7 linked regions of the Sus scrofa genome follow. The protein of the gene in region 4 interacts with the protein of the main gene of each other region in a pairwise test. Links are inferred from orthologs where the notes say so. Each region holds a gene or a part of one and is shown on either strand. Other genes may lie near its edges. The genes, in order: LNX1, PRPF3, UBE2E3, TRIM39, PLCD4, EIF4A2 and PSMD9.

Evidence for each region.
Region 1: the proteins of TRIM39 (region 4) and LNX1 interact in binary tests that used the Homo sapiens proteins (3 or more experiments, as listed by UniProt). The two-hybrid records come from large-scale screens. The link is inferred for Sus scrofa from reciprocal best matches to the Homo sapiens genes TRIM39 and LNX1.
Region 2: the proteins of TRIM39 (region 4) and PRPF3 interact in binary tests that used the Homo sapiens proteins (3 or more experiments, as listed by UniProt). The two-hybrid records come from large-scale screens. The link is inferred for Sus scrofa from reciprocal best matches to the Homo sapiens genes TRIM39 and PRPF3.
Region 3: the proteins of TRIM39 (region 4) and UBE2E3 interact in binary tests that used the Homo sapiens proteins (3 or more experiments, as listed by UniProt). The link is inferred for Sus scrofa from reciprocal best matches to the Homo sapiens genes TRIM39 and UBE2E3.
Region 5: the proteins of TRIM39 (region 4) and PLCD4 interact in a two-hybrid assay, tested with the Homo sapiens proteins (2 studies listed by BioGRID and IntAct). The two-hybrid records come from large-scale screens. The link is inferred for Sus scrofa from reciprocal best matches to the Homo sapiens genes TRIM39 and PLCD4.
Region 6: the proteins of TRIM39 (region 4) and EIF4A2 interact in binary tests that used the Homo sapiens proteins (3 or more experiments, as listed by UniProt). The two-hybrid records come from large-scale screens. The link is inferred for Sus scrofa from reciprocal best matches to the Homo sapiens genes TRIM39 and EIF4A2.
Region 7: the proteins of TRIM39 (region 4) and PSMD9 interact in binary tests that used the Homo sapiens proteins (3 or more experiments, as listed by UniProt). The two-hybrid records come from large-scale screens. The link is inferred for Sus scrofa from reciprocal best matches to the Homo sapiens genes TRIM39 and PSMD9.

What each region holds. Positions count from the first base shown.
Region 1 is NC_010450.4:40,346,535-40,350,034, forward strand, and holds part of LNX1 (E3 ubiquitin-protein ligase LNX), read right to left. Parts: intron 1,717-3,500; 5' UTR 1,613-1,716; coding exon 1,221-1,612; intron 1-1,220.
Region 2 is NC_010446.5:98,754,725-98,758,224, reverse strand, and holds part of PRPF3 (U4/U6 small nuclear ribonucleoprotein Prp3), read left to right. Parts: intron 1-158; coding exon 159-325; intron 326-2,059; coding exon 2,060-2,139; intron 2,140-3,500. UniProt on the Homo sapiens protein: Plays a role in pre-mRNA splicing as component of the U4/U6-U5 tri-snRNP complex that is involved in spliceosome assembly, and as component of the precatalytic spliceosome (spliceosome B complex).
Region 3 is NC_010457.5:86,469,688-86,473,711, reverse strand, and holds the start of UBE2E3 (ubiquitin-conjugating enzyme E2 E3), read right to left. Parts: upstream 2,801-4,024; 5' UTR 2,217-2,800; intron 2,090-2,216; exon of another isoform or gene 1,622-2,089; intron 1,186-1,621; 5' UTR 1,161-1,185; coding exon 967-1,160; intron 1-966. UniProt on the Homo sapiens protein: Accepts ubiquitin from the E1 complex and catalyzes its covalent attachment to other proteins. In vitro catalyzes 'Lys-11'- and 'Lys-48'-, as well as 'Lys-63'-linked polyubiquitination.
Region 4 is NC_010449.5:23,048,801-23,053,001, reverse strand, and holds the start of TRIM39 (tripartite motif-containing protein 39), read right to left. Parts: upstream 2,801-4,201; coding exon 2,348-2,800; intron 1,063-2,347; coding exon 967-1,062; intron 1-966.
Region 5 is NC_010457.5:120,670,640-120,674,139, reverse strand, and holds part of PLCD4 (1-phosphatidylinositol 4,5-bisphosphate phosphodiesterase delta-4), read right to left. Parts: intron 2,843-3,500; coding exon 2,611-2,842; intron 1-2,610. UniProt on the Homo sapiens protein: Hydrolyzes the phosphatidylinositol 4,5-bisphosphate (PIP2) to generate 2 second messenger molecules diacylglycerol (DAG) and inositol 1,4,5-trisphosphate (IP3).
Region 6 is NC_010455.5:124,581,844-124,585,861, forward strand, and holds the start of EIF4A2 (eukaryotic initiation factor 4A-II), read left to right. Parts: upstream 1-1,218; 5' UTR 1,219-1,253; coding exon 1,254-1,282; intron 1,283-2,109; coding exon 2,110-2,155; intron 2,156-2,241; coding exon 2,242-2,374; intron 2,375-2,651; coding exon 2,652-2,791; intron 2,792-3,542; coding exon 3,543-3,711; intron 3,712-3,831; coding exon 3,832-3,941; intron 3,942-4,018. UniProt on the Homo sapiens protein: ATP-dependent RNA helicase which is a subunit of the eIF4F complex involved in cap recognition and is required for mRNA binding to ribosome.
Region 7 is NC_010456.5:30,815,636-30,819,135, forward strand, and holds part of PSMD9 (26S proteasome non-ATPase regulatory subunit 9), read right to left. Parts: intron 1,335-3,500; coding exon 1,232-1,334; intron 1-1,231. UniProt on the Homo sapiens protein: Acts as a chaperone during the assembly of the 26S proteasome, specifically of the base subcomplex of the PA700/19S regulatory complex (RC).

The sequences.
Region 1 (3,500 bases), on a different chromosome or scaffold from region 4:
GCTGTAGCCAAAGGTCTACAGCACAGCCACAGCAATGCTGGATCCAAGCCCTGTCTTTGACCTACACCACAGCTCAGGGCAACGCTGGATCCTTAACCCACTGAGCGAGGCCAGGAATCGAGTCCGCATCCTCCTGGATACTAGGATCGTCACCACTGAGCCACAAAAGGGACTTCCTAAATTTCTCCCTTTTAAAACTTAGTTGAAAATACCATACCTCAAAGGATGGTTGGGCTTTTCCCAAAGGTTTCCTGTGCAGAGGCAATTCTAACAATCATGGGCCAAATTAGGAGACATGCTTTTCTTACATAAAAAGACAGGCAATGCCTACTAGGAAATCTTTTAGGGGACTGTAAGCCCCAGAGAAAGCTTCTTGTCATTTTTTTCAGTATCTTTCACAATTTGAATGCACACAAAGGAAATAAGCTAGTCACAAAGGACAGACACCAGCAATGTTTCTTATATGAGGTTTGTAGAGCAATCAAATTCATAGAGACAGAAAGTAGAATGGTGGTTATCAGTGCTGGAGAGGAGGGAATGGAAAGTTATGCATTTTGCTGTTGTTTTTCTACTTAGGGCTACACCTGCAAGCAAATGGAGGTTCCCCGGCCAGGGGTTGAGTCAGAGCTGTAGCTGCTGGCTTACACCACAGCCACAGCAACCCCACATCCTATCTGCATCTGACTTACACCACAGCTCATGGCAATGCTGGATCCTTAACCCACTGAGGGAGGCCAGGGTTGGAATCCGCATCCTCATGGATACTATTTGGGTTCATAACCTGCTGTGCCACAGTGGGAACTCATTTTTTTTTTTAATGGATGTGAAGTTTTAGTTCTGAAAAATGAAAAAAGTTCTGGAGATGGATGCTAGTGATGGATGCACAACAAAATGAATGTACTCAATGTCATTGAACTGTACACTTAAAATTCTAACATGGTAAATTTTATGTTATGTCTATTTTATAGAAAAAACCAGCCTATAAGCACAAGCGTACACTCACATCCCACAATTTTACCACGTGCTCTTTCCTCATATGGAACCACAGCCGTGAACACCTAAAACGTTTCTTATTTTGAATGAATACTGTCTCTGGTTGCAAAGCAGAAGGCAGAGAAAGGACCATCTCTGAGCGCACCTGGGCCTCGGAAGGCCCCGCCCTTTCAGCCACCATGAGGGCGGGGCTTCTCAGGATTGGCCGAGGAGGAGCCCCTCCCTACCTTGTTTGAAAGTGATGCTCCAGGTCACAGCGCTGCAGCACCTCCTCACAGTGCTCGGTGAATGGGCAGGTCACCAGCAGCTTGTTGAGGAGCTTGTTGACCAGGATGCTGGATTTCTTGCAGTGCTGCAAGACCACAGGCTTGCGGTCCACGGGGCAGAAGTCCTTCTCCACCAGGAAGTTGGTGAGGCAGACTGTGCAGTACGTGTGTCCACAGGGAGTGTCCAGAGGGTCCAGCAGTGCCTGCAGGCAGATGTGGCAAATGAGGTCATCGTCCACCTCTTCTGGGTAAGTGTAGAAGTGGTTTTCCTCGGGGGAGTGGGCTTGGCCACACACCACACATAGGGGTGCAGGGCTGAGGTCCGGTTCATCAGCGGGGTCTGACAGGTTCATGGTCAGCTGGGCAGCAGGGCAGGGCAGGAGCACAGGAAACCAACCCCGGGGATACAGTATTTCCTCTGGAGCAAATCAAGATCTTCTTGGTGCCATCCACAAACCTGAAAGAGAGCAAGACTGCTCACTGAAGATGCTATCATGGACGTGAGGCAATGCGGCTAGTGGACAGAACTGAGCTGAGCTGTGCCCCAGGTAGGCCAGGGTGAGTGCCCATGAGCTGTGCCCCAGGGAGGCCAGGGTGAGTGCCCACGAGGGTGACTGAGGTGACCTGGGGCCAGCGGCTTTGCCTCCTTAGGCCTCAGTTTAACCACCTATTCCAGTGGGAATAATATTTACCATTAACATCCTCCTGTTGGTGCGATGAAAATCATTTGGGTAAAATCTGCGATGTGCCCAGAAATCTGCCTTCTGAAATGTAAATTGTTAATCCAATAGACCAATGATCTATAAAATTCTCTGTCAGGAGTTCCCATCATGGAGCAGCAGAAATGCATCTGACTGGGAACCACGAGGTTGAGGTTTTGATCCCTGGTCTTGCTCAGTGGGTTAAGGATCCAGTGTTGCCGTGAACTATGGTGTAGGTTGCAGATGTGGCTCGAATCTGGTGTTGCTGTGGCTGTGGTGCAGGCCAACATCTGTAGCTGCGATTGGACCCCTGGCCTGGAAACCTCCATATGCCATGGGTGCGGCCCTAAAAAGCAAAAAAAAAAAAAAAAAAAAATATATATATATATATACACACACATATATATATATACACATACACACACACATATATGCACACACATACATATATACATAAATGTACATACATATATATATATATAAAATACACACACACACATATATATAATATGTTCTTTGTCAGATCAGGACAAGAAGAAGAAACAGTAAATGCTCTGATGGCTTTCTCTGATTCTTGCCCCAACTTTTCTCCAAAACTCAGAAAATATGGGACCTCAGAATCTTCAACTAAATCATCTGAGGAACTAGGAGCAGTTGAGGCTGTTGTAATTTATGGTGATGAAAGCACTGTTTTCTGCTGTGTGCCTTGCATTTATTCTAGTCATTAGTGATGAAGTAGGTTCTGGAGCCACATGGCCTGGGCCATTCCTACCACCACTGTGGGCCAATGATTGAGGCCTTTGTTTCCATAGCTAAAATGAGGGTAATAATAGTGACCTCATGGGGTTGTTGTGAGTATTAAATGAGATATGAGACATAAAGCTTTTATAATTATGCCTGGAATATAGTAAGGGCTTTCTAACTATTAACTATTCTTACATGCATTGGCCACTGAAGTCATTCTATCTCCAGTCAAGCTTAATTGGCCTGTAAACTGAAAGTTATAATTCTTATAAGGAGTCTTTTTGCTTCGTTCTAATAGTATTCTTTTTTTTTTTTTTTTTTTTTTTTTCCTAGGGCCACACCATGGCATATGGAAGTTTCCAAGCTAGGGGTCAAATCAGAGCTACAGCTGCTGACCTACGCCACAGCCACAGCAACATGGGATCCAAGCTGCACCTGGGACCTACACCACAGCTTGTGGCAATGCTGGATCCCCGACCCACTAAGTAAGGCTAGGGATCAAACCCGAATCCTCATGGATCCCAGTCGGATTCATTTCCACTGAGCCACAGTGGGAACTCTTAGTAGGCTTCTTTCATTCAATTATACGTATGTTTATTCAAACTGGTAAAATTCTATCACACTGTGTACCTCCCTTTGGTATAGGAGTTTAAGATGGAGTTTTTAACATGCCCAGTTAACATGTAGGAAGTCTTCTGGATGATCAATCAATAAACATTTTTTTTGGCCTTCAGTTGTTTTTCTTAATGAGCTGCAGGAGAGTGAAGTTAGAAAAAATGATAATCATAAACTTTGT
Region 2 (3,500 bases), on a different chromosome or scaffold from region 4:
GTAGGCCGGCAGCTGCAGCTCTGATGCAGCCCCTAGCTTGGGAACTTCCGTATTTCCTGAGTGCAGCCACAAAAAAAAAATGGGATTCTACTACTTCCCTGTTTTCTTTGACTCCAATTTATCTTCTTCTTCTTTTTTTTTTTTTTTTTTATCTTTAGGCCCAACTGGAGAAGCTACAGGCAGAGATCTCACAGGCAGCTCGAAAAACAGGCATTCATACTTCGACTAGGCTGGCCCTCATTGCTCCTAAAAAGGAGTTGAAGGAAGGAGATATCCCTGAAATTGAGTGGTGGGACTCTTACATCATCCCCAATGGCTTTGACCTGTGAGTTTGTTAGTTAATACCTTTTAGTAAGGCTAGAGTTTTAATGGGCAGGACAATACTTGTGCTTTAAATTAGATCTAAGGAGAATAGGTAACCACACACAAGCTCATATATTTGTTAAGAGTATGTTGTATGGGTTATTTTTAGGTTTTTTGGGGTTATTGGAGGAGGATTGGTCACAAATAGTCTAAATAACTTGTGGAGGAGTTCTCGTTGTGGTGCAGCAGAAATCTAACTAGCAGCTATGACGTTGTGGGTTTGATCTCTGACCTTGCTCAGCGTTGCTGTGAGCTGTGGTATAGATTGCAGATGTGGCTCAAATACTGTGTTGCTGTGGCTGTGGCATAGGCCGGCAGCTGTAGCTCCAATTGGACCCCTAGCCTGGGAACCTCCATATGCTACAGGTGCGGCCCTAAACAAACAAGCAAACAAATAAATAAATATGCAAATAATTATAAATTTTCTATTTGCTTTTTTTTTTTTTTTTTGGCCACACCCCTGATGTGCAAAAGTTCCTGGGCCAGGAATCCCACGCCACAGCAGTGACCTGAGCCATTGTAGTGACAGTGCTGGATACGTAACCCACTGTGCCACATAGGAACTCCAGAATATTTGTTTTCTTCTCTTTTCTTTTTATGGCCGTACCCACAGCATATGAAAGTTCCCTGGTTAGGGGTCGAATCTGAGCCACAGCCACACAAAATCTGAGCTGCATCTGTGACCTAAACTGCAGCTTGCAGCAACCCACTGAACGAGGCCAGGGATTGAACCTGTATCCATATGGATACTAGTTGAGGTCTTAACCTGCTGAGCCACAACAAGAACTTCAGAATATTTGTTTTCTTTCTTTCTTTTTTTTTTTTTTTTTTTTAACACTGCACCTGCAGCTTATGGAGGTTCCCAGGCTAGGGATTGAATTGGAATGGCAGCTGCCAGCCAACACCACAGCCACAGTGACACTGGATCCGAGCTGCATCTGCCATCTCTACCACAGGTCATGGCAATGCTGGATCTTTAACCCACTGAGTGAGGTCAGATTTGAACCTGCGTTCTCATGGATGCTAGTCTAATTCGTTTTCACGGAGCTATGAGGGGAACTCCAGAATATTTTCTTAATTTCATTCTTGTAGTTCCTGCTGTGGCACAGTTGGTTAAGGATCCAGTGTTGCCAAAGCTATAGCATGGGTGGCATCTGCTCCTTGGGTTTGATCCCTGGCCTGGGAATTTCCAGCAGAAAATGAAATACATTATTTTGCTCCTTTTAATAGGTGTTTATATTTCTTAAAGATCCAGACCTAGAGTAGAGCAAGGATTCTTAGTTGTTGAGGGAGAGAATAATAAATAAAGCATATAAGAAACATTTGGAGAGCTTTTATCATATCTTCTTCATCATTTTGATACATGGCTTTAGGAGACTGTCTCAGCCTTTCCTTACCCTTCCTTGGCCAACCACTGCCCCGGGGAGTTATTGTTACTAATGAGAGTCCATGGTATCCATCAAAGGTGTTGAGGTAGAAAAAAGGTTGAGAATGGTATAAAGAGTGCATCCAAATGGAACCATTTTCTCATCTTGAAAATTATGTGTAATATAATTACATATTATAGATATGCAAATACTTATAAAAGTGCTAGAATTCATTATGGAGAGTGGATTTTTTCATTGTTTCTGAGACTCCCTCTCTTGGAATCATCTCTACCCACATATCCTGTTTTCCCTTCTTCCTCCAATTTTAGTACAGAGGAAAATCCCAAGAGAGAAGATTATTTTGGAATCACAAATCTTGTTGAACATCCAGCCCAGCTTAACCCTCCAGGTAATAGATTACTCAATCAAAGCTCTAGAGAACTATTATACAATAGAAATTTATGTGGTAGTGGACGTGTTCTCTATGTGAGCTGTCTGTACAGTAGCCGCTATCCACATATGACTATTAAGACTTAAAAACTGGAGTTCCCCTTGTGGCTTAGCAGTAACGAACCTGACTAGTATACATGGGGACTCAGGTTTGATCCCTGGCCTCACTCAGTGGGTTAAGGATCTGGCATTGCTGTGAGGTGTGGTGTAGGTTGCAGATCTGATGTTGCTGTGGCTGTGACCTAGGCCAGCAGCTACACCTCCAATTCAGCCCCTAGCCTGGGAACGTCCATATGGTGTGGCCCTAGCAAGACACACACACACACACACACACACACACACACACACACACACAAAACAAAGAACTTAAAACCTGAGTTGTAATAATATATAACTCAGGGACTGAATTTTTAATTTTATTCAATTTTAATTTTAAATTTAAGTAGAAAATGTGGTTAGTGGCTACAGTATTGGACAGTGCAGCTGTAGAGCACTGAGGCCTAATCTAGAAATGGCTTCACTGATGTATATTACAAATTGGCCTTTTGTTAGTGTTGACTCCCAACTCTAGTCTTAGACACCACCACTAAAGTCCTGGCCTTTTTCAGTCTTTGTCTTCAGCCTTTCTATCATTTTTGTAGCAAAAGTGTATTGACTCAGTTGAAAAAGATGGGTTTTAATCGTGTCTGTGTTTTTTAAGTAGCTGAATCCCTTGTGTAAATCACTTAGAATACAAAATTTCCTCATATGTAGGAATAATATTAAGTTATATTCCTTCTTCAAGCGATCATAAAAGATTTTAACACTTTGATCAGTTTTGGAATAAACAAAGGAAGTTAGTTTTTTACTCAGTTACCAAGTTTACTCAATCAATAAATCTGCTCACCATCACAGGGAATTATATCCAGTCACTGCGATGTGTGACTGGGTCACTTTGCTGTACAGTAGAAATTGGCAAAACACTGTAAATCAACTATAATCACAAAAATAAAAATCAGAAAATAAAAAATTTGCTTACCAGTATCTCCAATAAGTTCAGGAAAATAGATTGAGAGCTTGAAATAATGCAAAGTGTAATTGTTGAGTTGTATTTAATAAGAATCTACTTAACTGTCATTAGTATGAATCATCAAAAGAATGCAGAGGGTTTTATATGTTTTATCAAGTCGAGTAAACCTTCTTTAGGAGTCCAGAAGATTTTTTCCAATTCCAGTAATTCTCAAATTATAAATTTCATCATCTTGGCCAGTGGTTTTCAAGTTGTATTCCATAGACACATTGAGGTTCAATAGGTAGGATCCAAATGAGATTCTGCATATC
Region 3 (4,024 bases), on a different chromosome or scaffold from region 4:
CATAGAAAATTACTACAGCATGCCAACATTTGATCAGCTTTTATATTTTCTTTTTCTTTTGGTTGTGATAAAAAAATGAACAAAATGTCGATACTGCTGAAGGCTGTAGAAACATCTGATGTATAATTCCTAGAATTCATGGATGTTCCACAACTACTACCACTGATGGGAGTCCCATTAACAGAATCTTTTTTTCACCATCACAGATAATATTAATCAACAGGAAACAAATGATCTTTCTCTTATATGCAACAAAATATGTTTCTCCTGCTGTTGAGTATTAGCATGTCAAGCATATCCACAAGTTTTAGAGTGGAGAGGCACTATGGCAAAGTTTTCAATCACCAAGTGCCACCTAAAATGTAAATGGCTGCTTTTCAGTTTTATTTGCCCTCACAAGGACACACGAATATAACCACAGCTTAACTACAAAAAGTAATACCTGGGACATATGACTTAAAGTCAGGTTTGTAAAACTGAAAGTGGACTTAGCGCACAGTTTTTAAGTTTGCTTTCAAATATAGCCAAGGAAGGCCTTGAATTTACAAATTTTCTAGCACACATGATTACTTCTGATCATTAAGTTTCATGGAGAGGCACTGCTGATCTCTAGAAGTGTCAATTTCAATGAAGAAGAAAATGACTCATAAAAAGGAAATATCCTCAATGTACCAGTTAATTTGAGTTGACCAAATTTTCCTTGCCAACTCCTTAAACAATCTGTCAGAGGTTAATCCAATCTCTCTCCAAGGACACTCTCACTGAAGTTACCAAAGTACAGAACAAGTTTGCTTAAAAGCCTAATTCTAGGGAGGTGGCTTATAGACCATCTAAAGAATGACAACTCATTCAAGTACAAATAAAACTGATCAAGAAGGAAGTATTTTTCAACTATTGCTACTGATGTAAAACCAACAAAAGTGTCCAACACAGACAACATGCGTAATCCTTTTTTTCACACATTACCTTTTAGCACTAGTGGATAACTTAGCAGTGGTTTTGCTAGAGAGTTTGGTGTTTTTCTTCTGCTGGGTGGCAGAAGGTTTTCTTTCTTCTTGTTCTTCTGGCTCTGGAGCGGCTGGGTCTCGCTGGTCCGCATCTGAACTACCACTGCTGGTGCTGGGGCTCTCATCATCGGACCTTTGCCGATCACTGGACATCTTGGTGAAGTTATTTCTTGGAAAACTTTTCAATAGAAAAGGGAGAAAGGACAGGTAAGTCTATTAAATAAACCAACAGCATTTTCATCTCTTTATCTTCACCTAAAATCGTATTTTAATGAAAAGACTTCAAAAGTGTTCACACTTATCTCGTCGTAAAGCAAGGTTACAGGGGAGGTGATGGGTCTTACAACGCCAGCGTTCAGGGATTTACGAACTCAAGTTAGAAAACCCACTCACATTTTTTTCCATCCCTTGGACAATCTATCAATTGTCTACTTTCTCAGAAGGCATGAAACAGATTTGCCAGGGAACTTAGGCAACGAGCATTAATAACATATGACACACTGTAAATAACAGATCTTGCTGAAAAATGTTAAAAAGTCACTAATAACGTCTAAATATTTACACGCTGACATTGGTCAAAGCTACCAAATTCCCTTTCCAAGAGGAAAACATACCCTGTTAATCGCCCATATGCTTATTTAAGGTGGCGATTCCTCCTCGGTGCACGTAAGCCTTTAAATACAACACTTAGGAATTTAAAAAATCAACTAACAAGCTGCTCTAGCCGTTTCCACGGCCAGCAGGGAAGATTCATCCGGCCAAGACCGAGCTGCCACCCTGGGAAAAGCAAAATTCAAACTGCACCTTCTGCAAAGCTCCCCATGCCATCAAGGTTCCTCGCTCAATTTTTACATCACGGACCGACATTTTGTCCAAAATAACGAAAAAAAAAATCAGAGGAAAAACAAACAAACAAACAAAGCCCCAAGAAGTGCAACAAATTTCCGCGCCCGCGGAGGCGAGCCGCGGCCGGCGGCGCGGCCACGCAGCTCCGCGGCCCTTTGTGGGGAGGGCCGCGCGGGGGCCGCGGGCAGCGCTCGCCGCGCCGGGCGCCAAGTGATGCGAGCAGCCCGGCCGGCCCCGCCGCGGCTCGCGGACACCGGCGGCGCGGGCGCCCGGCGCGAACAAAGCTGCCCGCCCCCGCCCCCTCCCCCACCGCCGCCGCCGCCCCGGCCGCCCCCACGCGGCCCCCCGGCCCCGCCGCCTTACCTCGGCCGCCCGCCCGGCCCGCTCGCGCGCCGCTACGGTGTGGGGGAGGGAGAGAGAAAAAAACCCTTCCTTAAGGAAATGGAGGCAGCTGGGGGGGGGAAAGGGGGGGAGGGAAAAAAAGAAGCCGAGGAGGCTCTGGCCGGGGAGTGTGGAACATTGAAAGTCGGAGGGGGTTGTGCAGTGCCGGGCTCCGGCCGGAGGGTGGCGCCGCCCAGCGCCTTCGGAAAAAAGGGGGGGTGGGAGCTCGGCTGGGCGAGGGCGCGAGCTCCCGGCGAGGCGGAGGGGACGCGGGAGACCCCCGCGCGCTGTGGCCTCCCGCCGCCGCCTCCCGGCTCGGCTCCTCCCGGCCGCGCAGTCAGCAAGTTCCGAGGCGAGCGCGGGGGAGGGGCGGGCGCGGCGGCGGCGCGCGTGCTCGCTCACTGCTTGCCTGGCGAAGGGGCACGCGCCGCCGGCGGGCGCGAGCCTTTCTCGCGCGCTCCCGCGCGCTCTTTCCGCGCCTCCCTTCACCCGGGGGGCGCACGCGTCCGCCCGCGCGCGGCCCGGACAAAGAGCGCGGCGGGGACCCAGCGGGCTGGCCCCTGCCGCCCTTGGCCGCGGAGCGGGTGCCAGAAAAGGCGGGGGCGCGGGCGCCGTCTCGTGGGGCCGCTGTGCCGCGGGGTGGCTTCCGGCCTGAGCCCGCCTCCGGAGCGAGACTGCCCATTGGGCTACCTACCCCGCACGCTGGGCCGGGATCATCCCTGGGGCTGACCTGCAGCCCCACTGCATGTGCAGGGGCCGGCTTGGACCCCAGGGGCCCCAACTTCTGGACTAGCGCCCCGGGTGCGTGGTCGAGAGTCCCCCACTGCCCTAGAAGACTGCAGACTAATGGGTGTCGTTGACGAAGGCGGGCATGCAGGAGGAGGAAAGCTGCCTCTTGCCCCTCGTGTGAGCTAAAAGGGCAACATGGGGTCTTCGGCATCGAGGGAGGAAAAGAGATTTTGAGACTAGTTGACCAGCCTCTGCTTGCTTCTCTTTGGCCCTCAGCATACCAAAGGAGAAGGTGATCCTTCGGGTGCTTTGAAAACTTAAAAATTCAAAACAATTTTTTAAATGTCCCACTCAAGATTGTTTAAGTGAAGAAGGTCATAAACAGGGTTTATACCTGATGCTTTGCTGCGTGGTTCTAGTGAGGTGCATGCTAGAGGCCAGTTCTGGAAAGAGAACCATCTGTGATACTAGGTCAGAATGTCCACCCAGAAAAAAAGCTTCAGGTGGAGATAGTGAAGGTTAGTAGTTTTGTTCTGTCATTCTCTCTTGCAGTCTCCAGGTGGACTGCAGTTTTTGCCCCAGGCACAAAGTAACCAGAAGTACAAAAACTTCCTGTTTGCAGCCCAGACCTTCTCCAGCTCCTGAGAACTTGCTCCAGTGATGGAGCCCCAAAGGAATTTGTGGATTCCTCTCCCACAAATGTCAGGAGCAGGGGTGCTGGGAGAATGTGGAGTTCAGAGCAGGAATGACAATGGCAGAGTCATAACAGATGAACTAGAATTAAAGGGAAAAAGGGGAAAAAAAGGCTGAATGAGCCAACATATTGACTTTTTTTTCCTCCAGAGAGAAAAGTTTTGGTAAAGTGCTGCTTACAAATCTGAAGAGTAAGTTACAGTTCTGTAATTTTCCAAAGACACTGTCATTCGGTGAACCTTTTGGAGAACTATGCCCTAATTGCTGGACACACAAAACTCTCTCATTCAACTAGTGTGTGACTAAAGCCAGGTCTCCCTGCTCTAGAAGCCACCAGTCCAAAAGGAGAGCAAATGTTAAAGTCCACC
Region 4 (4,201 bases):
GCAGAACTCTAAGACCTAACACAATCCTGAAAGTTTGGAATGTCTTGGATACCTAATGAATTAATGCTCAGGGCTCAATAAATACTAGTTATTATTACTGCTACTATTAATACATGTCTCACTGTCCAATAGAAGAAATAGGACAGATACCAAAATACCATGCTACAAATATGTTAATGCTATGGAAGAGATGCAAAACTGTATGCAAATTAAAAGAGCCAATTTCTAAAGGTTCCAGAAAGGCTACATAAGCAGTGGTTTTCACCAATAGGATCCTACAGTAGAGGATGGGGAAAGGAAGACTATCCTAGAAACTAACCTCATCTAGCATTTTTGAGTTTACTTGAGTTAAGAGAATGTGGTCTAGAGGTTACTGGGCAGCTCCTCCATCCTTCCTCCCGAGTGCATCTTCCACATTCTTCTTGCCTCAATCCCTCTAAGAAACTCCTATCCCTGCCCACTCAGCAGAGAGCCTTCTTCCCTGCCTTACAAAGAAAAGGAGACCAACAGGCATGAACTCCCTCAACTCCACAGATATAAGATATTCTGTCCTTCACCTCTTCCATCTTTCTCAATACTTAATCCATGACAATTAATCTAAGTACAATGTTTAATGACAATCAAGCTTAATAAAAATACCATCATTTCTGAGAGAACAGCATTTTTCTTTTTCTTTCTTTTTATGGCCGCGTATAGAAGTTCCTGGGCCAGGGACTGAATCTCAGCCACAGCTGCAACCTAACACCACAGCTGTGGCAACGATGAATCCTTAATTCACTGCACTGGGCCGGGGATTGAACCCTTGCTGCCTCAGAGACAACGAGGGATCCTTAACCCACCGTGCCACAGCGGGAGCTCCGAGAATAGCATTTTTCTAAGGAACCAGAACTGGGGGGGTTAAATAATGTGTGGTTAATGTTTGGTTAACTGCCTGTAGAGCAGCCCAAATGGATCTCCTGCCTTTACCTTGAGTTCGCCAGGCTTCTTCTCCTCAGAGGACTTGCAGCGGGTGATCTCCTGTAGCTTCTGCTCCAGGGGCTCCAGGCACTTCTGCAGTTTTTCCTGAGGGGTGCAAAGTGGGAGAATGGCATTTGGGATTATCTGGTACATCCTATGTTCAGAAACTAACCCATTTGTTTTAAATCATTTGTTTTGCTTCCTATCCATCTCTTACCACCTCTTGATGCAACTGCCTTGTCTGTCATTTGGGGTGTCAATTTCCTACAGGTCCCTCTTCCTGCCACCAACCTGTCTCCATATCACTTTCTTTGTTCACCAAACTTTCCTTTCACTGAATCTCACAGTGTCCAGCTGTCACCAACTCTCTGTCCTTCTCCTGCCCTGTTCATTTTCTTACTCATGGAACTGCCTATTACTGTCAAAGTGACCTCCTGTCCCCTGATATCTTTCTTTAAATTGTTGTCCTATCCAACTCTAACCACTTGCAAATATAATACAATCTTGATTACTTATTTTGGAAACTACCATAAAATCTTATTTCTAAGATTTTACTAATATAATTGGTCAAAGTTCTTGATAAAGTGCTAAGACATTAAAATCTCGAGTTCCTATTACTCAAACATGTATCCTGGGTCCCAGTGGTAAGTTAATCCGTATACCATGTTATCTATCATCCAGGCAAGATGCAAACAGACTGGTTCAGCTTGGCCTGGTGGAGGTCATTCTAAAGTGATGTTATCTATGCCCAATACTAGGTTAAACAAGGGGCATGTGAGCAGGAGGAAAGAATGAAGAAACCAGACTACCTTTCAGTTCTTCCTAAATTTGATCTTCTCCATGCGGTTTCATTCACTTGTGAAAAACATAATACATTCCAGGACCACACATACGCAGATGTGTTATAAAAGTCAGAGAGAAATTTTGGGATATTTCTCATTGCTTTTTTTTTGCTTTTTAGGGCCGTACCTGCAGCATATGGAGGTTCCCAGGCTAGGGGTCCAACGGAAGCTACAGCTGCTGACCTATGACACAGGTGCAGCCATGCCAGATCTGAGCCGTGTCTGCGACCTACACCATAGCTCATGGCAACACTGGATCCTTAACCCTCTGAGCAAGGCCAGGGATCAAACCTGCAACCTCATGGTTCCTAGTCAGATTTCTTTCCACTGTGCCATGATGGGAACTCCTCTCACTGCTCTTCTTCATGCCTGAGGATAACTGATCAGATGTGCTGTGTGCCTAGTGTATGTAGCTCTGAGGGGAATACAGAGTGAGGACCAGATACCATCTTGCCCTCAGGAACTTATGATCTTCTACCCAGGGAATCTCTCACCCTCTGCACTCCTCTCCCTTGCCCTGCATTAGCATCATGTGTCTGGTTCCTTACCTTGTACTCCTGGGTGGCATCATCCAGTGGCACAACGGTATGGGCCCGGTGAGTGTGGGAAATTGCACATATCAAACAGACAGCCTCCTGGTCCTCATAGCAGAAGAGGCTGAGGGCCTCGTGGTGCTGGGGGCAGAGGCTCTCATCTCGGATCTTCCGCTTGACAGCTTGGAGCTGCTTGGCAATTTCCACCATACTGCCCAGCTGTCGATTAGGCCGGAGGCTGCGGTAGCGGGATGTCTTTCGACAGACAGGGCAAGGGAAGTCCCTCTCTAGGTCCTCCCACCAGCGGGTGATGCAAGCTTTGCAGAAGTTGTGCCCACACTCAATGATGACAGGCTCCTTCAGATACTCCAGGCACACAGAACAACTTGCCTCCACCTGTAAGTTCTCCAGCGCTGCAGCTGTGGAGGCTGCAGAGGCCCCGGCCTCTAACAGACTTGTCTCTGCCATTATTTAACTTGAAGTTAGGAAGGGGGAAGAGGAAAGAAAAATGTTAATTGGAGGTTTAATTTTTTGGCATCCCTGACCTGACATGTACGTCCATGTTAAACGCTAACTGCAGATTTAGTCCCTTCGTGGTATTTTACATCTTCTCTCCCACTAGTCAAGCTCTTTTGTTTCTCCATTTCCAAAACTTGTGACTCCCAGACATTAACTTTTTTTTTCTCTGCAGCAAACTGACATATAACCCTCAATCTCTTGTCTATTATCACTTCCTCTTGTTAGAAACAGAGGCCCCTTTCAACTTTAGCCCAAAGTACTTCTCCTGATTCTGTTTCATTCCATTTGTGTCTTAGAACCAATAGTTCCAGACCAATGAATTCCTGGTTGGACATACTTATCTTTTTTGGCTGTGCCCATGGCAGGTGGAAGTTCCCAGGCCAGGGACTGAACCAAAGCCACAGCAGTGAAAATGTCAGATCCTTAACTGGCTGAGCCACCAAAGAACTCCAACACATTTTTCTTTTTGCTTTTTAGGGCCAAAAAAAGAACTTCCACAGCATATGGAAGTTCTCAGGCTACTGGTCAATTTGGAGCTACAGCTGCCGGCCAATTATACCACAGCCACAGCAACTCTGAAGCAGAGCTGCATCTGCAACCTACACCATGGCTCATGGCAATCCAAGCAAGGCCAGGGATTGAACCTGCATCTTCATGGATACTAGTAGGATTTGTGTCCGCTGCGCCACAATGGGAACTCCCCGACATATTTTTTCTAATGGATGAGAAAGGAGTTTCAGAAAGTGGAATGTGCCATAAAAGTCAAGCATTAAGGTTTCTTTCTTTCTTTTCTTTTTTGGCTGCACCCGTGGCATATGGAAGTTCCCTGGGGCCAGGGATCGAATCCCAGCTGAAGCTGTGACCTATGCCACAGCTGTAGCAATGCCAGATCCTTAACCCACTACAGCACAGCAGGAACTCCTAATTAAGGTTCCTTAAGTATGCATTAAAGCGTAATGTTACAGAAGAGTTTTACTACAATAGCCCATTGGAACCTAAGCTTGATTCTCTGGCATTGTTCTCTCACTCTTTCAAACGGTAATAAATGGAGTGAGTTAGGCAAGGGTAACAACCTCTTTTTTTCAGAAGTCTGGAATTATTCTTCCTTTTAGCAGGCTAGCCTAGAGGAAGTGTGCTATCTTTTCGGAATGAAATGATTCATACAACAACTCATTTCTATTTGTGTGCATTTGGACTTTTGGAACTGCTAGAAAGTGATAAATTCATGGCAACTGTACTAGAAAGTCTATTTCTATTACTGAGCCCAGGGCAAGAACTTCTTGAAAAGACAGCTGACATGTCTATTCTAGTATTCAGCAATGACTGGAGTCTTCTGAAATCAACATCAAT
Region 5 (3,500 bases), on a different chromosome or scaffold from region 4:
GCCCCCCTCTCCTGACTGATTGCACCCTCTGTAGCCGGAGTGCTGTAGCTGATAGTCAAGTACAAAGGGAAGGAACAGCACAAGGGCTGGGAGGTAGAACAAGGTAATGATGTATCCTGTCCTGGAAATAGAGGATTCTCTTTCTTTCTTTCTTTCTTTCTTTCTTTCTTTCTTTCTTTCTTTCTTTCTTTCTTTCTTTCTTTCTTTCTTTCTTTCTTTCTTTCTCTCTCTCTCTCTCTCTTTCTTTCTCTCTCTCTCTCTTTCTTTCTTTCTTTCTTTCTTTCTTTCTTTCTCTCTCTCTCTTTCCTTCCTTCCTTCCTTCCTTCCCTCCCTCCTTCCTTCCTTCCTTCCCTCCTTCCTTCCTTCCTTCTTTCCTTCCTTCTTTCTTTCTTTCTTTTTTTTTGTCTTTTTAGGGCCGCACCAGCAGCATATGGAGGTTCCCAGGCTAGGGGTCCAATCGGAGCTGTAGTGGCTGGCCTACACCACAGTCACAGCAACCCAGGATCCGAGCCACATCTGCAACCTACACTGCAGCTCACAGCAATGCTGGATCCTTAACCCACTGAGCAAGGCCAGGGATCGAAACTTCGAGCTCATGGATGCTAGTCAGATTCATTTCCTCTGAGCCATGGTGGGAACTCTAAGGATCCTATTTCTTAACCTTCCAGCTTCTTCTTCTACTTATTCTTGGCAATGATTGCTTTATAGCCCCTTTCTTCTCTGAACACCCACGTGAATTTGGAATCAGTGATTTCATTGCTTTCTGTTTGACTCTCAGTTCCATGAGGGCAGTGTCCTTGCCTGACCCACTACTGTATCTCTGATCCCTACATAGGTCCTGGCACCTTGCAGGTACCCAGTGAGCCCCTGCTGAAGTAGTGAATGAATGAAGGAATGAAAGGCAATGGGAGTTGAGACCCAGGAAACCTGGGTCACTGGTCCAGGTCATACTCATCTTGCCTCTAATCCTCATTCTCTACGAGAGGCACCAGGTAAGAGTCAGATGGCCTGGGTTTTTTTTGTTTTTTTTTTTTTTTTTTTTGCTTTTTAGGGCCGCATTCACTGCATATGGAGGTTCCCAGGCTAGGGGTTGAATTGGAGCTCCAGCCTATGCCACAGCCACAACCCTAACCCTAACCCTTGGGATCCAAGCCACATCTGCAAATTATATAATAGTTCGTGGCAATACTGGATCCCCAACCCACTGAGCAAAGCCAGGGATCAAGCCCACATTCTCGTGGATATTAGTTGGATTCATTTCCGTTGCACTACAACGGGAATTCCAATGACCTGGGTTTTATTTCCAGTACCTCCTTTCATTAGTGTTGGCTTTGAGCAAGTGATTTGATTTTCCTAACTTTTTTTTTTTTTTTTGGTTGCACCCACAGTATGCAGAAGTTTCCAGGTCAGGGATTGAACCCATACCACAATAGTGATAATGCCAGATCTTCAACTACTAGGCCACCAGGGAACTCCTTGAGCTTTCTAAACCTCAGTTTTCCTGATTTGCACAGTATTCTTCTTTTGACTTAATAATAGAAACCACTTCATAGAGTTGTTGGAAGGATTAGAAGAGGAAAGGCATATAGAGATGGTGGCACATTCTGGGATACTTAGCAAAAGCCCAATAAAGATGATTGCCTTTGATTTACAAGGTTGGAGTGGGGACTAAATAAAGTAAGAGATATGAAAGTGCCTTGTAAGTCACTTATTATTAATAATGTAAATGCATCACATCCCCACATTCTGAAGGGAATGGAGGGCAGGAAAGTGTCTACTAAAGAAGGCAAAGAGAAAGTTTTGAGTGCAGAGAAAGTCTATTTTAGCTGTGCTTGCTAAAAGCTGAACAACTGGCCACCTCATCATCCTCCTCAGCCAGGGGCTGACAAGTTTCTTGGCTCAGAGGCTTAGGACTCAAGAACCACTTGGAGAATTTGGAGAAAGCCCAGGAAAGGGCAGAGGGCCAGCATTTAAAGGGACAGCCAATAGGAGCCATGAAGTGAACTAGGAAAAGGAAACATAGGCACTAGAGAAAAGGCCAAAAGCAAGGACCAAGGATTTTCCATTTCCAACAAGGACAAAGTTGATATCAGGAAGAACTTCCTGAAGGTGAAGGATGTGAAACATGAGCATAGTGGAGGAAAGGGGACTTGTGGAATGTTCTTCCTCCTGAGAGATCTAGCATTGACAGAGGAGAATCCTGTCTTATGTAGGTAGGAAATGGCTCTCACCTTCCAGACAAGTGGTTGAATGGGATGAAGATGATTGGACAGGGGGCCTGGGGCGGGGGAGTGGACTTAGCCTCCTCTTAGTTAGGCGGAAGGCTGATTGTCTCTGGACCTTTTTTTTTTTTTTTTTTTTTTTTTAAACAGCTGCATATAGAAGTTCCTAGGCCAGGAATTGAATCCAAGCCTGCACCGCAGCTGCGGCAACACCTGATCCTTTAAATGCACCAGGTCAGGGATCAAATCTATGCCTCCGCAGTGACCTGAGCTGCTGTAATTGGATTCTTAACTCACTGTACCACAGCAGGAACTGCTTCTGGATCTTTCTAATCACGGTCCCCCATGAGCCCCCATGTCTGGTGCCTTTCCACCCTAGTCTTCTTACCACTATCTGAAGGCTCGTGGCGGTCGATGAGTTCCAGAGCAAGATCAGAAGCACGTTCTCCTTCTTTCTGCTCCTCTTGGAGGAAATCCACAAATTCCAGCAGTGTTAGCTTCTGCCCATCAGATGAAAAGTTTTCAAACAATTCCTGCACCTCAGCACGCTTAGTCAATGACTTATAGAATTCTACAAATTCTTCTCCCTCCAGAGTCCCAGACTGGGATGTGTCTGCTGTCTGTAAGAGATGGTTCAGAGGAAAGTGGACAAACCCTTTAACAGTACTTTTTTTTTTGGCTTTGACTTTCCCTGTAAGGGTAATATTATTGATGGATCCAGACATGCTTCCATAAAACTCCCACAGAACTCCTGACACTTAGTGTTCACAGAATAAGTCACTTCAGTTAAGTGAAAAGCTTATCAACCATATCATTTGCTATTAGAGAACATTTTCGACTAGAAAAAGTTAAATGCCCCGATATGTCCCTAGAATATTGGAAGATTCCTGTTTGTTTGTTTGTTTTTTGGTCTTTTTAGGGCCGCACCCATAGCATATGGACTTTCCCAGGCTAGGGCTCCAATCGGAGCTGTAGACCACAGCCACAGCAATGCCAGATCTGAGCTGCACCTGTGACCTACACCACAGCTCACGGCAACACCAGATCCTTAACCTACTGAGCAAGGCCAGGGATTGAACCTGCATCCTCATGGACGCTAGTCAGATTTGTTTCCATTGAGCCACGATGGGAACTCCTCCCTCCTCCTATTTACTCACATGCTAGCTGAAGTTTTCCACTGTACTAGGCACTTGTGACCTTCTGGCCATGGACAGAGAGGTCCCTGAGGTCTGATGTAATAGCATATTGTTATTTACCTTTCATAAGATCATGAGTCAT
Region 6 (4,018 bases), on a different chromosome or scaffold from region 4:
TGAATATAGTACACAAATATAGAAAATTAAGTCATTTTTCCTGTTATCAGACTTTATGTTGGCAGTCTGATTTAATGGTAAAAGGTTTTCTTGAGTAATTGTGATATTTTGCAGTATGGGTAGGATTGTATTTCAAAGTTAAATGACTATATATATTAATTTTTGTTTTGTTTTTACTAATGAGTATGGGTTAGGGCTATAGTTGAAAGCCTCTGGAGCTTTAAGGGTTACAATGCTCTCAATATCAATAAATCAACATTCATTATATATAAGCAATTAAAATTCAAAAAGCCTTTTGGAAAAAAAAAAAATGACCGGAAGCAAAACTTATGTAGTCCCAAAGCGGCACGGAGCTGTACTTGCCAGAAGCATCCACTTAAATTCCTGAATTACAGGAAAAATTACCCTTCTATTTGCCAGTTTACAATGATTTTATCAGGCATTGCTCACACCTGTTAAAATTTATAACCTTTATTTTTAAAAGGCAGTGAGAGAAGAGGCAACATAAGAAAGGAGTTGGCTACTCCAGAGACAATTTGCAGAGGACCCTACACATTTCTTCTCGCCCTGCACGATGTACGGTAAAGCGGATCTCCTGTGACACGCTGGGCGGCCGACATTTTCCGCAGCGCGAGTTTCACACTGTCAAGGTCTGTATGGATGTTAAACGCTCGTGTCAAAGGCCAGGCGGCTCTTTACCTTCGCGTTAAGTAGCGGCGCGAACAGGCGGAATAGCCCGATTGCCCTCCAGTGCGGAGTATGGCCGTGCCTACACCTTCCGCACCGAGCACGGCGAGCACAGCGAGGTTCCCTGGCTCGCCTGCGGAGAAACCGGGGCCACCCAGCTTCCAAGGGGCCCCGAGCTTCCGCCTCCCGGTCCTGCCCGGCGCCCCGGCCGCCTCTGCTCGAGGGACGCGGAAACCCCGTAGGAGCAGGGCGGGCAGGGAACGCGAACCTAGCTACTGCTTGCTGCAATATTCTTCCGCCGCGGGTCAAAGAGTCCCAACCTTCCCCCAGGGTCCTGGGATTTTCAACAACCCTGGAATATCGACACATAATCAAATTTGAATTTTCTTAATGATTTGCTTCGAATATTTTCTGAGATAAGCATCCCAGGATCACAATTTTGTGACTGGCCGAAGAGCGACAGTAAAATTCCTCCGCGGAAAACGGGTTCCGGCCGCGAGCCTATAAAAAACGGGTGGTGCGGCCCGGCTGTCTTTTCAGTCGGGCGCTGAGTGGTTCTTTGGATCATGTCTGGTGGCTCCGCGGATTATAACAGGTATGGCGCTCTCTCCGGTGGTTTTCTATGGTATGGTCCTAAGGCGCCAGAGGAGATGGTAGTAGGCGGTGAGCAGGAAGAGAAGCCCTGGTTCATAGGCGTTGCCTTGGGCCACGGTACTCCTGTGTCCTTCGAGAAGCTTCCATGAAGTGTAGGGCCCGGGTTGTGGGGAGACGAGACGAGGGTAGGAAAACGGGGTGGTTAAAGCGTGTCTTTCCCCGAAGGCGCATTTGAATCGCAGCCGCCCCCCTGCCCCTGCGGAGCCCGGCGTTTAGTGAAAGCCATGGCGCAGCCCGCGGTTGATAGAGTCTAATGGGGCTCGGAGGTTTATTCGCGGCCAGCGGCGCGGCTTGGGCGCGCTAGACGGTGGTGGGGTGGGGGGCAGGACGGCGACGGCGCCCACTGCCCGCGGCTGGAGGCCGGATGGGGCCGCGCCGGCCACGGGGTCCCAATGAGCCGTTGGCTCGCCTCTCCAGGCCTCGGCCCGCGTCAATCACCCCGGCTTGCGCAGTGTTAGGGGCGGAGCTCAGCGCGTGGAGCTCTCGCGAGACGGTCCGCCGCCGAGGGGAGCGCCTGCGCTCGGGCTTGGAGGGGGAGGGCCGGCGTCGGAGGGGCCTTTCCGGGTGTCCTCAGGTCCTAACCTTTGAGCGGGCGCGCGGGACATTGTGTGCCCTGCGGCATCAGCTTCTTCTGCGGCTTTGGGAAGTGGACTCGTGCAGGGGAGGGCGACCTCAAGAGACCGGTTGTGAAAGCGCTTTTTCGCCCATGTGCAGTTGAAGTGGGTTTGGGGAAGGGATTTTCTCTAACTGCAGTGTTTTTGTTGGCAGAGAACATGGCGGCCCAGAGGGAATGGACCCCGATGGTGTCATCGAGGTAAGAAACGTGTGTGGAATTTGAAACTCTGGGAAGGTAAGTGTGTTCGTCCCATTTATTCCTTTTTTTTTTGCCCAAACTTTCAGAGCAACTGGAATGAGATTGTTGATAACTTTGACGATATGAATTTAAAGGAGTCTCTTCTTCGGGGCATCTATGCTTACGGTTTTGAGAAGCCATCAGCTATTCAGCAGAGAGCTATTATTCCTTGTATTAAAGGTAAAAGAATTCGGCTGTTTTTAAAAATGAATTCACTCTTCTGCATAGACCTGGACCGTAAAAGGGAACGTATACCTTCTGGGGGACTAGCACCTATTTGTATTCCAAAAAGTGAAATGATGGCAATCATCTTTCGGGACTGACCTGAAATGAAGAGAATACTCATTGCTGATCACTTGATTATTTGGGCATAATTATGTTCCAAATGGAATACATGGTGTGACTAGAAGTGACGGTTTGCTGTGGGATCGGTAAATATGTATCCTACTTTTTTTAGGGTATGATGTGATTGCTCAAGCTCAGTCAGGTACTGGCAAGACAGCCACATTTGCTATTTCCATCCTGCAACAGTTGGAGATTGAGTTCAAGGAGACCCAAGCACTAGTATTGGCCCCCACCAGAGAACTGGCTCAACAGGTATTGATAGTGTAGTTCAAAAAAACTGCTTGCGTGTTGCATAGGTTTCAGGTTTCACAACTGTGGAGAATTTAAAAGCCTAGTATAAATTGGTCCTACAGAGCCCTCCTTTTAACTGTCCATGCATGCAGGGAGTTATTGTTGAAAGTTAAACAGGAACTGGGTGTGCAGGTATGGTTTGCAAGGTTGTGTAACAGATTGAGAAACTGAAGATTTCTGTTCAGGCTGGACTAGATCTTTTCTCATTTTAAGTTTGAATCCAGTTGTGCAACATGAAAGCTGCAGTGACATGTTCATTCATTTGACTGTCTCAGTATGTGATACATCTGTTGCATGCTGCGTTTTCAAAGCTCACTACTATATTGGCTTTGAAGTAAACCTTGCTAATACACTTGTAGTTGTTATTAAGGTCAAGATTATATGCTGCAGTACTTTGCGGGAAAAAGTTTGTTAATGATGATAAATCTTATTTACTCCTTCCTGCACAATACTAATGTAGGAAATGTTTTTCACTCTAAATAACCTGGTTGGTATCTGGGCAATAGGATCCCAAGTTTTGACAAGGCACAAGATATTTCAGTGAAGTTTATCCTGACAGTTATATCTGTCTGCATTTTTTTCAGCTTGAAAGTAGTTAGGTGCTCTGCATGCATTAAAGCTGTTTGCAGACCACATACTTGTCAATATGCTTTGGAAGTTTAGTCACAGCATGTAATGCTGCTGGATGATAATTAACGCTTTTGGCTTTCAGATCCAAAAGGTAATTCTGGCACTTGGAGACTATATGGGAGCAACTTGTCATGCCTGCATTGGTGGGACAAATGTTCGGAATGAAATGCAGAAACTGCAGGCTGAAGCACCACATATTGTTGTTGGTACACCAGGGAGAGTGTTTGATATGTTAAACAGAAGATATCTTTGTAAGTATTACTCCCTATTAGTATAGTTTGTTGGAGTATAGATTTTTTTTTTTTTAACTCTTAGGAATCAATAACATGCCTGATAGTCTAGAGATAATAGTACGACTTTATTTTTAACAGCTCCAAAATGGATCAAAATGTTTGTTTTGGATGAAGCAGATGAAATGCTGAGCCGAGGGTTTAAGGATCAAATCTATGAGATTTTCCAAAAATTAAATACAAGTATTCAGGTGAGCTTTATTTTCCCTCATTTTCCTGTAATAGCTGGAGGTTAGGTTAATGCAGGTACTGTTACAATACAACTGAA
Region 7 (3,500 bases), on a different chromosome or scaffold from region 4:
TTATTTAGGACAGCAACATGCACCATGGGGCACATTCTCCAACGTTTCTTCCAGGCAGAGGAGCCTATGAGAGGAAAGCAGAAACTATGGCAGGGGTGGGGGTGGGATTTGCAGGACAGATCCTTAACGGAGGGGTGCCAGCTGGCCTAGGAGCTTTTGTCCTTCCTGCCTGGCACAGGGACATGGTGACCCCACCTCAAGATAGATGACACTTCCTAAGGATGGCAGAGCCTGGGTTTCTGATGACCGGCCCGGGACTCCGTCCTCCAGATGTCTTTACCGAGGAACTGAACTCCTTTCCGTTTGAGTGGCCGTGCTGAGGGCACTGTCATTAACGACTAAACCTGTTTCCTAACTCTAACTGATCTGATTAGGACTGTAAGCGATATTTGACTTGGGTTTCTATTGTTATTGTGATAAAGTTTCCACGGTAAAGTTCCTAAAAACAAAATGAAAAATGAAACCATGGAGTTCCCGTCGTGGCGCAGTGGTTAACGAATCCGACTAGGAACCATGAGGCTGCGGGTTCGGTTCCTGCCCTTGCTCAGTGGGTTAACGATCCGGCGTTGCCGTGAGCTGTGGTGTAGGTTGCAGACGCGGCTCGGATCCCGCGTTGCTGTGGCTCTGGCGTAGGCCGGTGGCTACAGCTCCGATTCGACCCCTAGCCTGGGAACCTCCATATGCCGCGGGAGCTGCCCAAGAAATAGCAACAACAACAATAACAAAAAAGACAAAAAGACAAAAAGACAAAAAAAAAAAAAAATGAAACCATGGAGTTCCTGTCATGGCACATTGGAAACGAATCCGACTAGGAACCATGAGGTTGAGGGTTCGATCCCTGGCCTCACTCAGTGGGTTAAGGATCCAGCATTGCTGTGGTGTAGGTCGAAGACACAGCTCAGATCTGGTGTTGCTTCGGCTGGTGTAGGCCGGCAACAACAGCTCTGATGAGACCCCTAGCCTGGGAACCTCCATATGCTGTGGGTGCAACCCTAGAAAAGACAAAAAAAAAAAAAAAAAAGAAAGAAAAAGAAAAATGAAACCATGGACACAGAGCCCTGGAGTCTAACCCATTCCCTTAGTCTGCAGGCTCTCAATGGGGACAGATGAGGTAATCCCATCAAGGCCAAAGTGAGGGGAGAGGATAATGTGGAGCACTGGTGCTTTCTCTGTGTGCCCTAAGCATCTCCGGCTACAAGGTGGGAGAAGGTCCCCAGCGAGGGCCACTCACAGACGATGTTGTGCCTTGCTGTTCGGACTTGGTACAGGTCCACATCTGACCGGGGGTAGCCCTCGCAGTCCACTAGCGGCTCGTTCATCCCCACGCCTTTTTGCTGGAGAAGAGAAACAAGGTCAGAAAGATTCACAAGTGTGCAGTCCTCCAGCCCTCTTTCCCCAGACACTCTTCCTCTGAACTCCTAATAAAGGTGACAGTAATGACACTGCCAGGTACTACTCAATGTGCGCCAACGAGGTATGTTTCCACACCCTCTCCCATCTGCCCTCTGAAGTGGGCACTATTTTTTAACTGACTTCTAATAACACAAGCAAAGCATGAAGCCACTCTCCTTTTCTGAAGTTAATGCAGTGCAGATAAAACTAAGGATTTCTTTGAGCACCATCCCCAAGGCCAGCCTCTCCTCCACTCCTCCAAATCCTCCTTCCTATGGGCAGCTGACACCTGGCTGGTGGCCTTGGAACCTGGGGGGAAGGGGGTGATAACCCCAAAGAACACCGAGCTGAGGCAGGACTTTGGATCTTCTGAAAATAAAGAGAGATCTAAAGGGGACTTCAAACAGGCTTTTCATCCCTGGCAGGCTACACTGATATCGCCAGATATCACCAGCTGCCATCTGGGGAGAGGAACTGGGTGGCTGGGGGACAAGGGAGGGAGAGAGACTTTCCATTTTATATCCTTTTGTAGACACTGAATCTTTTTTTTCCCCTTTTCTTTTTTTTAATGGTTGCACCTGAAGCATATGAATTGGTGCTGCCACGAGCTGTGGTACAGCTCGGATCTGGCATTGCTGTGGCTGTGGTGTAGGCTGGCAGCTGCAGCTCTAATTCAACCCTTAGCCTGGGAACCTCCATATGCCACAGGGGAGGCCCTAAAAAGGCAAAAAAATAAAAATAAAGTGCCCTTTTAGTTATCTTCAACCCTTCAATAATCAAGGAGAAAGTCCCCATTTTGTGCTTTATATCACCTCCAGATGACATGTTAACTCAGGGCCTTTCCTTTTCTTTTCTTTTTTTTTTTTTTTGGCCATGGCCACAGCATGCAGAAGTTCCCTGGCCAGGGACTGAACGTGAGCCACAGCTGTGACAATGCTAGACCCTTAACCTGCTGAGTCAGCAGGGAACTCCTATTTGTTTTATTGTTGTTGTTTTATTCTTTTTTGGTTACCCCACAGAACGAGGAATTCCTGAGCCAGGGATCAGATCTGAGCAGCAGTTGAGATCTATGCCTCAGCTGTAGCAAGGCCAGATCCTTTAACCCATTTTGTCTGGACAGGGATCAAACTTAAGTCCCAGCACTCAGTCACACTGCCAATCTGATTGTGCCACAGCGGGAACTCCCTCCATTTTTGTTTCGTTTTGTTCTGTTTTTTGGGTTTTTTTGTTTTGTTTTGTTTTTTTGCTCTTTAGGGATGCACTGGAGGCATATGGAAGCTCCCAGGCTAGGGGTTGAATCAGAGGTACAACTGCCAGCCTACACCACAGCCACAGCAACAAAGGATCCAAGCCACATCTTCGACCTACACCACAGCTCAGGGCAATACCAGATCCCCTACCCACTGAGCGAGGTCAGGGATAGAACCCGCATCCTCATGGATACTAGTCAGATTCGTTTCCACTGCACCACAACACCACAACAGGAACTCCCCCTTTGTTCTGTTTTTAACGGCTTTATTGAGAAGTAATTTACATACCATATAATGCACCCATTTAAAATGTACAATTCGGAGTTCCCTGGTAGCTCAGCAGGTTAAGGATCCAGCATTGTCACTGCTGTGGTGTGGGTTTGATGCCTGGCCAGGAAGCATCACATGCCTCAGACGTGGCCAAAAAAGAAGTGTACAATTCAAAAGCTTTTCAGTATATTCACAGAGTCATGAAACCATCACAATAATCAATTTTTTTTTTTTTTTTGTCTTTTGTCTTGTTGTTGTTGTTGTTATTGTTGCTATTTCTTGGGCCGCTCCCGCGGCATATGGAGGTTCCCAGGCTAGGGGTCCAATTGGAGCTGTAGCCACCGGCCTACGCCAGAGCCACAGCAACGCGGGATCCGAGCTGCGTCTGCAACCTACACCACAGCTCACAGCAACGCCGGATCGTTAACCCACTGAGCAAGGGCAGGGACCGAACCTGCAGCCTCATGGTTCCTAGTCGGATTCGTTAACCACTGCGCCACGACGGGAACTCCACAATAATCAATTTTATAACATTTCCAAAGAAACCCCAAACCCATTAGGAGTCATTCTCATTCCCCCTTCCTCTCA